Callithrix jacchus: one gene and its partners. The protein of the gene in region 1 interacts with the protein of each later gene in a pairwise test. Links are inferred from orthologs where the notes say so. Each region holds a gene or a part of one and is shown in the gene's direction. Other genes may lie near its edges. The genes, in order: ATXN3, ARHGAP19 and DNM2.

The links.
Region 2: the proteins of ATXN3 (region 1) and ARHGAP19 interact in binary tests that used the Homo sapiens proteins (3 or more experiments, as listed by UniProt). The link is inferred for Callithrix jacchus from reciprocal best matches to the Homo sapiens genes ATXN3 and ARHGAP19.
Region 3: the proteins of ATXN3 (region 1) and DNM2 interact in binary tests that used the Homo sapiens proteins (3 or more experiments, as listed by UniProt). The link is inferred for Callithrix jacchus from reciprocal best matches to the Homo sapiens genes ATXN3 and DNM2.

Annotation. Positions count from the first base shown.
Region 1 is NC_133509.1:126,952,897-126,956,644, reverse strand, and holds the start of ATXN3 (ataxin-3), read left to right. Parts: upstream 1-1,243; 5' UTR 1,244-1,313; coding exon 1,314-1,337; intron 1,338-2,629; exon of another isoform or gene 2,630-2,768; intron 2,769-3,748. UniProt on the Homo sapiens protein: Deubiquitinating enzyme involved in protein homeostasis maintenance, transcription, cytoskeleton regulation, myogenesis and degradation of misfolded chaperone substrates.
Region 2 is NC_133513.1:90,127,151-90,130,898, reverse strand, and holds the start of ARHGAP19 (rho GTPase-activating protein 19), read left to right. Parts: upstream 1-1,205; 5' UTR 1,206-1,229; coding exon 1,230-1,285; intron 1,286-3,748. UniProt on the Homo sapiens protein: GTPase activator for the Rho-type GTPases by converting them to an inactive GDP-bound state.
Region 3 is NC_133523.1:9,995,285-9,998,567, forward strand, and holds the end of DNM2 (dynamin-2), read left to right. Parts: coding exon 1-30; intron 31-940; coding exon 941-1,192; intron 1,193-1,791; coding exon 1,792-1,861; 3' UTR 1,862-2,718; downstream 2,719-3,283. UniProt on the Homo sapiens protein: Catalyzes the hydrolysis of GTP and utilizes this energy to mediate vesicle scission at plasma membrane during endocytosis and filament remodeling at many actin structures during organization of the actin cytoskeleton.

The DNA of each region.
Region 1 (3,748 bases):
CTGGTCTTGAACTTCTGACCTCAGGTGATCTCACCTCAGCTTCCCAAAGTGCCAGGATTACAGGCGACAGCCACCGTGCCCAGCCATTTTTTTTTTTTTTTTTTTTTTGGTGAGATGGACAGAGAGAGAAACTCCGTCTCAGAAAAAAAAAAAAAAGTGCATCTTAATCTGGTTTCCAGGTGCAAGATGTGTGCCTATCCTTCCATTTAAGGTTCATCAAACTGCTGCTACCTCCCCGTTTCCCACACAATTCACTGCACCTCTAATTTCCCTCTAAAGGGCCAGAACACCTATGCTGGTAACAAGCCACTTGAATTTGAATCCTAGCAAGGTAACTTACTATCTTGGACATTGTACTCTTCTTAATCTCTCTGTGCCTTGGTTTCCTCATGTGTATGAATAACATCAACACCGACATCAAAGTTTGCTGTATTAAATTTGATAATATGTGTAAAGCAATTAGAAAAGTGCCTAGCTCATGGAAAGCCCTATATGAATATTAGCTAACTTTTTTGTTTTCTTTTTTGTGTGTGTGATGGAGTTTCACTCTTATTGCCCAGGCTGGAGTGCAATGGCACGATCTCAGCTCACCCCAACCTTCATCTCCTGGGTACAAGCGATTCTCCTGCCTCAGCCAACGGAGTAGCTGGGAATTCAGGCATGTGCCACCATGCCTAGCTAATTTTGTATTTTTAGTAGAGATGGGGGTTGCTTCACGTTGGTCAGGCTAGTCTCGAACTCCCAACCTCAGGTGATTCGCCTGCCTCGGCCTCCCAAAGTGCTGGGATTACAGGTGTGAGCCACTACCCCTGGCCTAGCTATCATTTTTATACAAGTGCTAGGTTTTGGGAGAATGTAATGACACCTTTGCTTAACAACCTTTAATTGGAGGAGGAGGAGAAAGATAATAAATAGTTATTTGAACACAGTAGAAAGTTCAAATAAAGTGGAAAACAAAAAGAACATAGAACCCAGGTGAGTGGTCCAGACCTCCGGCCAGAAACCTAAGAATCCATAGAAATGGGTGGGAAGCGGAACAGATCCTCCAAACAGCAGGTGGCGCTGTAGCATCTCCCAGAAGGCCCGCTAACAGAATATAGGAGGACGGGCTACCAAGGTCACGTGTCGCTGGCGTTCACTCGCTCTTTGCTCCACGTGACTCACATCCTCACGGGTGATTGGTCTACGTACTGCACGTGGGCGGGGAGACTGGGGCGGACCAGGGAGGGGCGGGATAGGCGGAGGAGAGGGGCAGGGGGCGGAGCTGGAGGGGGTGGTTCCGCGCGGGGGCCGTTGGCTCCAGACAAATAAACATGGAGTCCATCTTCCACGAGAAAGTGAGTGTCCGCGTTCGGTGGGGAGCTGTATGTCCGTGCGGTGGGGAGCTGTCTGCCGCGCGGTGGCGGGCGTGGAGCGCGGCATCACAACCTCCCAGGGGGCTGGGTGGGGCCCGAGTCGCCCCCATCCGGATCTCGCCGGGCGAGGGGCGACCCCGCAGCCTCCTGCCTCCTCGGCTCTGGAAGGGGAGCATCACAGAATCCCCCACTTCCCCCGCTGCTTCCTAGGCCCCCGCCCGGGAAGCCGGGAGGGTGTATGGGCGGGGCCGGGGCGTCTCGGGACAAGGGAGTGGGGTGGCGCCTAGTGGGTTCGCTTCTGCCTTTTTCCGTCACTTTCAATCGCTTTTCGAAGGATTCTTTGACCTCCGCAAGCCTTCTCTCTCCCTAGGGTCTAGCTAGAGTGACCTCTGGGACATCTCCCTCGACCCCTCCTACCCCATTCCTGGCAGAATTAACTTTTTCATCTCTGGACTGCTCAATTCTATATTGCAGTGTAGAGTCTTCCCTACACGTAGATCTTTGGAGTCTTGTTCATGTCTTTCCCCTGCACTGGGTCCGCAAGCCTCCCGAAGGAAGGGACCTTGGCTCCCCCACACTGGGGCCTGACACTTAGGAAGTGAAGTAGGAAACCCGGCTTGTCCCTTAACAGGGAAGTCGTCACAAGTTTTTATTACGGGATGTTTGGGTTTGGTTTCTTTGGGTACTCCCATCTTTCCGGAGCAGGCGGCCAGCTTTGTGTTTGGGTATTAGGAGTGGATTGGAATGATTTTGTTGTGGTCTGCCTAGCCCGCTGTCACTTTAACTCTTCAGTGACCATGCACTTGAAGATACTGTTTGTGATAAGTGGAGAAACTTGTCTTTACTCACATGCTATTAATCCAGCCATTTGTGTGTGAGTGAAGCCTTCCCCAGGACAACTTTGGCATATGATGTCTTGTTTCATAATAGTTTCGTGTTTGGAGTTGCTGGCGAGGCTGTTATTTAATAGGAGGAGCAAAGGGTTTTTGTTTAATTAAATACTTGTAAATGATCAGTAATTATCACGATTAATTATCCCAGACATTTAAAATTCACACACACACAACAAATAAAGCAAAGGCAATAAATTTACCAGATGTAAATCTGTAATATGAATCTATTTAAAAATTTTTTATTTTAGCGATGGGATTTCATTCTGTCACCCAGGCAGGTGTGCAGTGGAGAGATCCTGGCTCGCTGCAGCCTTGACCTCCTAGGCTCAAGCGATCCTCCTGCCTCAGCCTCACTGGGACTTCTGGTGCATATCGCCATGGCCAGCTAATTTGTGTGTGTGTGTGTGGAGATGAGGGTCTCGCTGTGTCGCCCATGCTTGTCTCAAACTCCTGGACTCGTGATTCTCCCACCTCAGCCTCTCGAAGTGCTGTGATTACAGGCATTAGCCAGCCACTGTGCCTGGAACAAATTGTTAAGTACAATATTTTAAATTGTAGAAAACATCTAGGAAACTTTTAAAATAGACTGATTTAGAGTGGGGGAGGAAAGACTCAGTCGTATAGTTGTTATTAATCTTTTGGTTTGATTGACATGACTTACAAATCATAGACAATAGAGATTTAATTACTTGGCTCAGTAATTAAAGAGTGGGTGGAAAATACACATGTACTTAAAAAAAAAATTTTTTTTTTTTTTTTTTGAGACCAAGTTTTGCTCTTGTCACCCAGGCTGGAATGCAGTGGCACGATCATGGCTCACTGCAACCTCTTCCTCCCTGGTTCAAGGGATTCTCCTGCGTCAGCCTCCAGAGTAGTTGAGATTACAGGTGCCCACCACCACATCCAGCTAATTTTTGTATTTTTAGTAGAGACAGGGTCCATGTTGCCCAGGTCTTGAACCCCTGACCTCAGGTGATCCACCTGCCTTGGCCTCCCAAAGTGCTCGGATTACAGGCATGAGCTACCGCACCCAGCCGTATTTTTGTTACTAACTTTCAAAGGCTTTGATGTGGGACCACATCTCAACATGGAAGGCCTTAAATATGTTCCACACTACTTCCTGAGATTTAGACAAGGTTTTCAACGATATTGATTGTTACCTAGTTGGGACACATTTCTACTGAACCATGGTATGAAAAAAAGTTGGGTGCTAGCCTAGTGAAAATCTACTTACCTGAAAGAAGTCCCTCTTAATTCTTAGCATGTGTGTAGGCCTACAGATACTTCAGGAATACATTTAATGTTATCATCAAGTTGTATGTACATAGCAAATGAAGATTCAACAATTTAGGTTGATGTTTTTGTTTTTTGAGATGGAGTCTCTCTCTCCTGCCCAGGCTGGAGTGCAGTGGCGTGATCTTGGCTCACTGCACTCTCCACCTCCCGGGTTCAAGTGATTCTCCTGCCTTAGCCTCCTGAGTAGCTGGGATTATAGGCGCC
Region 2 (3,748 bases), on another chromosome or scaffold:
TGGGGTTTTTGATATACTCTGCTTCCAACCTAGGCTGTATCACTTCTCCTTAGGCATTCTGGTGGCCCCCACTCCTGGGAGGTCACCACGTTGATGCCACGCTTAGTGCAGACACCCCATAGGCATAGTGCATTGCAGCACAGAACTGGACTCAAGCAATTCTCTTGCGTCAGCAGTAGCTGGCTCAGCTCGTTGCCACCTCTGCCTCCCGGTTTCAAGCGATTCTGCCTCAGCCTCCCGAGTAGCTGGAACTACGTGCATCACCACGCCTTGCTAATTTTTGTATTTTGAGTGGAGACAGGGTTTCTACTCCTTTCACTCTACTGCACATATTTCACATTTAAAAGCAAATACTTTGGCTGGGTGCGGTGGCTCACGCCTGTAATCCTAGCACTTTGGGAGGCAGAAGTGGGTGGATCACCTGAGGTCAGGAGTTCAAGACCAGCCTGGCCATCATGGTGAAACCCCATCTTAAAAAAAAAAAAAAAGCAAGTACTTCTAGTTTGCCACTCCCTGTCTGATCTTGAGGAATTTCTCTCTGGGTTAAGACAGAGAATGTCTTGCCTTAAATTAATTAATTAATAGCTGGGAGCTGTGGCTCATGCCTGTAATCCCAGCACTTTGGGAGGCTGAGGTGGGAGGATTGCTTAAGCTCAGGAGTCCAAGACCAGCCTGAGCAACATGGTGAAACCCTGTCTCTACTAAACATACAAATACATAAATAAATAAGAAAAATTATTTATTTATTTTCAACTTTCATTTTAGATTTGGGGTAACATGGGTATGTTTGTTACCTGGGTATATTGTGGGATGATAAGATACAGGTATGGAGTGTTGTATTTTAGAAAGTGATGAGTCACTTTCACAGTCGACAGCTCTATAATTCTGAGATTTACATATCAGGACAAAATTTGAACGTAGGCTGGTGATTTCTGACTTGAACCTAAAAGTCGATGGAATCGAAAGGGTAATCAAAATGAGAAACTACAACTCCCGGCAGGCCTCGGAGCTGGGTCGTCTTCCCCGCCCCTCCCTTTTTTTTTCGCCAGGGCTGGGAACGACCAATGATGGTTAGTCATTTGAATAGACCAATAATATATTAAACGGTTCAGGTTGAGGAGGGGCGGTCGAGTCATCCAACCGCACGGAAGAGGTGGAAACATATTAGCCAATCCAAAGATGTGGGGGCGGGACCTAAGGGGGGCGGTGAAAGAAGTTTGCTGACGAAGATGGCGACTGAGGCACTGAGTGAAGGGGAGGTGCCAGCCCGCGAATCCAGCCGTAGGTGAGCTGAGTTTGGTCCAGTTTCCTGGGAAACACGGCCTTGAGCTAGTCGTCCTGCCGCCTTTGCCTTCGGTCACGGTGGCGCACGGTTTGGGCTTTGTTTCTTTCTCCCATGGCGTTTCTCACGGTCTCGCCTGCGGGGGCTGAGGCGCGGGGGTCCGGCCTCAGTGTTGGGCTCCAGCCAGGTCCCCCGCTCCGTCCTGCCGTTGTCCTAGGGGGCTCCGCCAGCTGTGCTGGCTGGAAGCTGGGGGTGGCAGCGCTGATCGCCTTGGCGCCGAGACTCCTCTGGATGGCGAAGAAACGGAAGTCCAGGGCTGTTTAGCGAATTCTTCACGGTTACACACATCTCTTCATATATTCCCCAAGGCACTTAGCGCGTTCAGATCCGAGCAAGGATTTGATGTCAATTAGAAACTGTGTTGAGTCCTTGGGCCAGTTTTTAAACCTCTCTCGACTTCAGTTTCTTCATCTGTAGAGGGGCATGAGGATACCTGTTTCAAAGTATCAAGATTGAATAAGACAATCCATTTAAAGCTAGCACTGAGCTAAATCGATAATGACAACTCTACGCGATAGAGTTTTTTCTTCCTAGCGGAACAGCTAAGGAGCAGATGGGGGAGGGATCTGTAGTCCAGGACATCATGACTTTATTTCCATAGGATGTTCTTTCCTAAACAGCCACACCGAAATTTAGTGTTTCCAGGAAAGAGTTTCGAGGCGGTGTTGCCTTAGCCTTGAGACCTAAGTTGTCTTAATTGATTACAATGTTGTTTTTTGGTATACTTCAATAAATTGAATTTATTTACATTGCCTCAGCATAACTCAATAAAATACATCGATTTGGCGTCTTTTGGTTCCATTTGTACAGAATAGGAGATTCCAAGAATCTTGGGAAGCTGACTTTATGATCCCGAGCCTAGATGAGTGTGCTTGAGTGTGTTATTTAAAATATGATACGGGGCTGGGCGTGGTGGCTCATGCCTGTAATCCCAGCACTTTGGGAGGCCAAAGCAGGCAGATCACCTGAGGTCGGGAGTTTGAGACCAGCCTGGCCAACATGATGAAACTCTGTCTCTACTAAAAATGCGAAAATTAGGCAGGTGTGATGATGGGCGCCTGTAGTCCCGGCTACTTGGGAGGCTGAGGTCAAGGTTGCAGGGAGCTGAGATTGTGCCATTGCACTCCAGCCTGGGTGACAGAGCAAGACTCCGTTTCATAAATAAAAAAATAAATAAAATATGATATAGAAGAATTTGAATTTCTTTGTTTCTAACACAGGTCTCTTTCTGTTGCCCAGGCTGGAGTGCAGTGGCGCTATCAGAGGTCCCTGCAGCCTCAGTCTCCCGGGCTCAATCCATCCTCCCTTCTCAGCCTCCTGAGTAGTTGGGACTTCAGGCATCCCTTCTCAGCCTCCTGAGTAGTTGGGACTTCAGGCATGTGCCACTATGCCCACCTAGTGTTTTTTTTTTTTTTTTTTTTTTTTTTTTGTAGAATCAGGGGTCTTGCCATGTTGCCCAGGGTGATCTTGAGTTCCTGGCATAAGTGATTCTCCTGCCTTGGCCTACCAAAGTGCTGGGATTATAGGTGTGAGCCACTGCACCTGGCCTGAATTTCTTTCTTTTCTTTTTTTTTTTTTTTTTTGAGACGGAGTTTCGCTCTTGTTACCCAGGCTGGAGTGCAATGGCGCAATCTCGGTTCACTGCAACCTCTGCCTCCTGGGTTCAAGCAATTCTCCTGCCTCAGCCTCCCGAGGTGGGCGCGCACCACCATGCTCATGTCTTTTTAGTAAAGACGGTGTTTCACCTTGTTGACCAGGATGGTCTCGATCTCTTGACTTCGTGATCCACCCGCCTCGGCCTCCCAAAGTGCTGGGATTATAGGCGTGAGCCACTGCGCCTGGCCACCTGAATTTCTTTATAGTATATTATATTGCTAGTTGAATTTAAATTTTGAGTGAGAATATTAGATAATTACATGATCAGCAGGCATTCACACAATCTTACCTGAACCTGAAACCATTTCATCAATTCCATGTTGTAAAAGAGAAGTTTGGGATTTCTGTAAGGCATTTTGAGGGCAGGACACACATATGTGTTTATCACATATTCCCAGTGCTTAGCTTTGTGTAGGTGATCAGTAATTAGTGAATAATAATCTGTAATTTCTAAGAGAAATATTTTCTCATGGTGATAAATACTTTACAAATTCTTTCTTGCCCTGAAAAGATTAATCTTTCTAATGTTCTATTGATGTGTGGCCCCTTTTTTTGTCTGATTGGCACAGATGAATACATATTTAAATATTGAATGCAGAATATGGATCATTTAGAACTGTCCAGCTTTTTGTTTCTTCCTCCTCCTCCTCATTATTTTTTTATTTTAATTTTTGAGATGGAGTTTTGCTCTTCTTGCCCAGGCTGGAGTGCAATGGTGTGATCTCGGCTTACCGAAATCTCTACCTCCCA
Region 3 (3,283 bases), on another chromosome or scaffold:
CACCTGGCTCCAGAGCCCCAGCAGCCACAGGTCCGGGAGCCTGGTTCCCCTACCCACAAGCGTGCAGCCTGCAGGTTCTTGTTCTCCCCGCGTGTCCTGCAGGGTCCTGGCAGGAAACGGGACACAGCCCAAGGGTGGGCAGGAGAAGGGGCGGCCCCCAGGCTGGGCACAGTGGGAGCTGCTGCCTTGCTGAGGCCTGAGAAGGGAGAGAAGGGGAATGGGGGCCAGCCGGCCTTGGAGCTCTAGGGCTGGAAACCATGAATAAATCCACCCCGTCTGCCCTCTGCTGGTGCCTTCCATCGGCACTGCCCAAATGGAAGCCAGGGTAAGAGGCTGGAGGGGCAGCAGCCACAGAACAGAGATGAGCCTCCTGGAGGACAGAGAAGGGTGGGTGGAAGGCTCTGGTGAGGCAAACGGAAGGTGTGGCCAGACCTGCCCTGCCCCCGAGGTGTCGGATGGAGTGTAGGCCATTGAGGCAGTCACAGGGAACCTCGGGGCCACCCTACAGAGCCCTTGGGGAGCCATGGTGTTAGGGGGAGTACATTGCACCTAGGCCTGCAGGCGGCAGGTGCTGGGGCCCAGGAGGGAATCTGGGTTTCTCGGAAGGGCTTGTGTGTTCCATGGCCCCTGAAAGCTTTAAGGCTTGATCTGGGAGGACTCTGGAGTGTCTGGCTGTGAGGGTGGATCCCAGGGCCCGAGACCTGAGGGAGCCGTGTGAGTGGGAAGTGCTTGGCCACGTTGGGGCTGCGGGGACGAGGTCAGAGGGCAACAGAAGCCCTTGGGGGCCGGGAGAAAGGGAAGGTGGGTCTGGCGCTCAGGTTGGGGTGGGAGGATCCCACTGCGCCTGCGCTGTCCCCCCAGCCTTGGGCCCTGGCAGCCACAATTGGCATGGCTGGGATTCCCACTCCGTCTGTAGTTCACACCCTTTCCTTCCTCACAGCCCTACTCCTCAGCGCCGACCCGTGTCCAGTGTGCACCCCCCAGGCCGGCCCCCAGCGGTGAGGGGTCCCACTCCAGGGCCCCCCATGATTCCTCTGCCCATGGGGACAGCAACCTCCTCCTTACCACCCCCAATCCCGTACCGGCCTGGACCACAGAGCGTGTTTGCCAACAATGACCTCTTCCCGGCCCCACCTCAAATCCCATCGCGGCCAGTTCGGATCCCCCCAGGGATCCCCCCAGGAGTGCCCAGGTAAGGCCAACCCCCTGCCCCCCACCCCAACTACCTGTACCCTGGGGTCTCTCCTCCAGTCTCACTGCCTCCCAGTGAGCTCTCCCCATGTGCCCAGCTGCTGGATTGGAGGAATTGTCCTCATCCCCATTTGGCTGGCTGGGAAGCAGGCCCAGACGGGCCAAGAGGCTTGTTCAGTGTCACAGAGTAGGGGAGCCCGGTGACTCCAGGGCTCCCAGCTTGCCCTCTGCCCACTGGGATGCACTACCAGGCAGCTGGGGATCCCTCATGCTGGGCACCTTCTCTCACTGTTAACCTTGTTCCTGCCTCTGCCTGCCTCACTCTACCCTGTGGGCCGGGCCTTATTCTCTCTGCTTATCCAGTGGGGAAGCTGAGGCCCAGATAGAGCAGGAAACTCACCAAGGGTCAAACAGCAGGTGAATCGATGCCTGGGGTTCAGCAAACTCCTCCCCAGCACCCTGGTGGCTTGTGGAGCCGTCAGCCCAGGGAGCACCCTGGGGTGGCGTGTGGGTGGGGGCTGGGTCCTCAACCAGGCCTGCCTCTGGCTCACGGCCTCACTGCCGTCTCCCCCTCCCCACCTGTCTTTATTCTCTTTGCAGCAGAAGACCCCCTGCTGCGCCTAACAGGCCCACCATTATCCGCCCAGCCGAGCCATCCCTGCTCGACTAGGCCTCGAGTGGGGGCATGCTCTCGGGGGGCCTCGCGCACCCATGGCACAGGAGCTTCAGTGGTCTGGGGCCCTCCACCACCCCTATGCTGGGACCAGGCTCCCAGTGGGCAGCCCTGGCCTCTTCCCTAATGCTGGCCCGGGTCCAGGGCCGGCCCCTGTGCCTGGCTGGGGGCAGGCACCGCACTGCGAGAAAGGGCCCTGGACCTCCAGGCAGGGGGTGCTGGGGTGTTGCACTTTGGAGGATGGGGTCTCAGGGTGGCAGAGGGGGGACCTGCACCCTCGACACCATCTTGAATGAGGGGTCCAGCCTGGGGGACTCTGCCAGGGTCTTCTTGGGCTGGGAAAGCCCAGTAGGGCAGGGGCCTTCTAGAAGTGGGGGCACCAAGGGCGCCTATGTCCCCAGGCCTTGCTGGGGCACGTCAGCGTCCCATCAGCAGGAGCTCCCCAGTGGTGAGCCTGGCCCCATGGGCTCTTCGGCAGTGCCCAGCTGCCAGGCCTGAGTTGTACATAGTCCTTCTTGGCCATATTAACCACACAGCCTGAGCCTGGCCCAGCCTCGGCTGCCAGAGGTGCCTTTGCCAGGCCTGGAGCCATTGGCCCAGGCCGGCCTCGCCCAACTCCTACTCTCCTCCTCCTCCTGGGTCCCCCAGGGTGGCTGGGCTTGGGGCTCTGTGGATGGTGGTGGCAGGGGGGACCTTGGGGGCCTCTCAGCTCCTGCCCATGCTACCCTGATGGGGTGGGCCCCAGGCGGCCTCTGAGCAGACCTCACCCACTCCTCGCTCGGTTTGACCACTGTAAGTGCCTGCACTCTGTATCCTATTAATAAACTAAAAATAAAGGGAAGACGCTGCTGGTGGCTGCTGTGTGGGCCTCTTGTGTTGGTGTTCAGGCTGGGGACGTGGGCACCACCTCCCCCATCAGGCCTCCCACAAGGACGCCCAGGTCCCTACAATCATAAGCGCCTCACACCTCACTCCCTGAAGGGCTCTGCTTTCAGGGGGGTCACCTTTCGGAGGAAGCCACTCGATACACAGGAGAGCTTTTACTTTCTTTAGCACATCAGGAGTGGGAGCAGATCTTCTCCACTGCCCCACACACCCCCATGCGCACAGGCCTGGCTGCTGCCTGGTGGAGCACGGACCCCAGCACTTCACCCCCTTCCTACCCTCAGTCCCTGCTTCTCACCCTCATGGGGAAGCCCAGGCCTTGTGGCCCAGCCAGGGCTCAGTTAAACTTTGCTTTCTGATTTTTCTCTTGTGCCAGGCGACCACCTCCATCGGCTCCCGCACGACCCTTCTTCTGAGCTTCGTGGGAGGCCCCTCCCGCCTGTCTGGTTGCCCTCTCGGGGCCGGTCTGTCCTGGCTGGTGTCCGTGAGCCCCAGTCAGCAGGCTCTGATTTTTCTGACCATAATTTATTGACT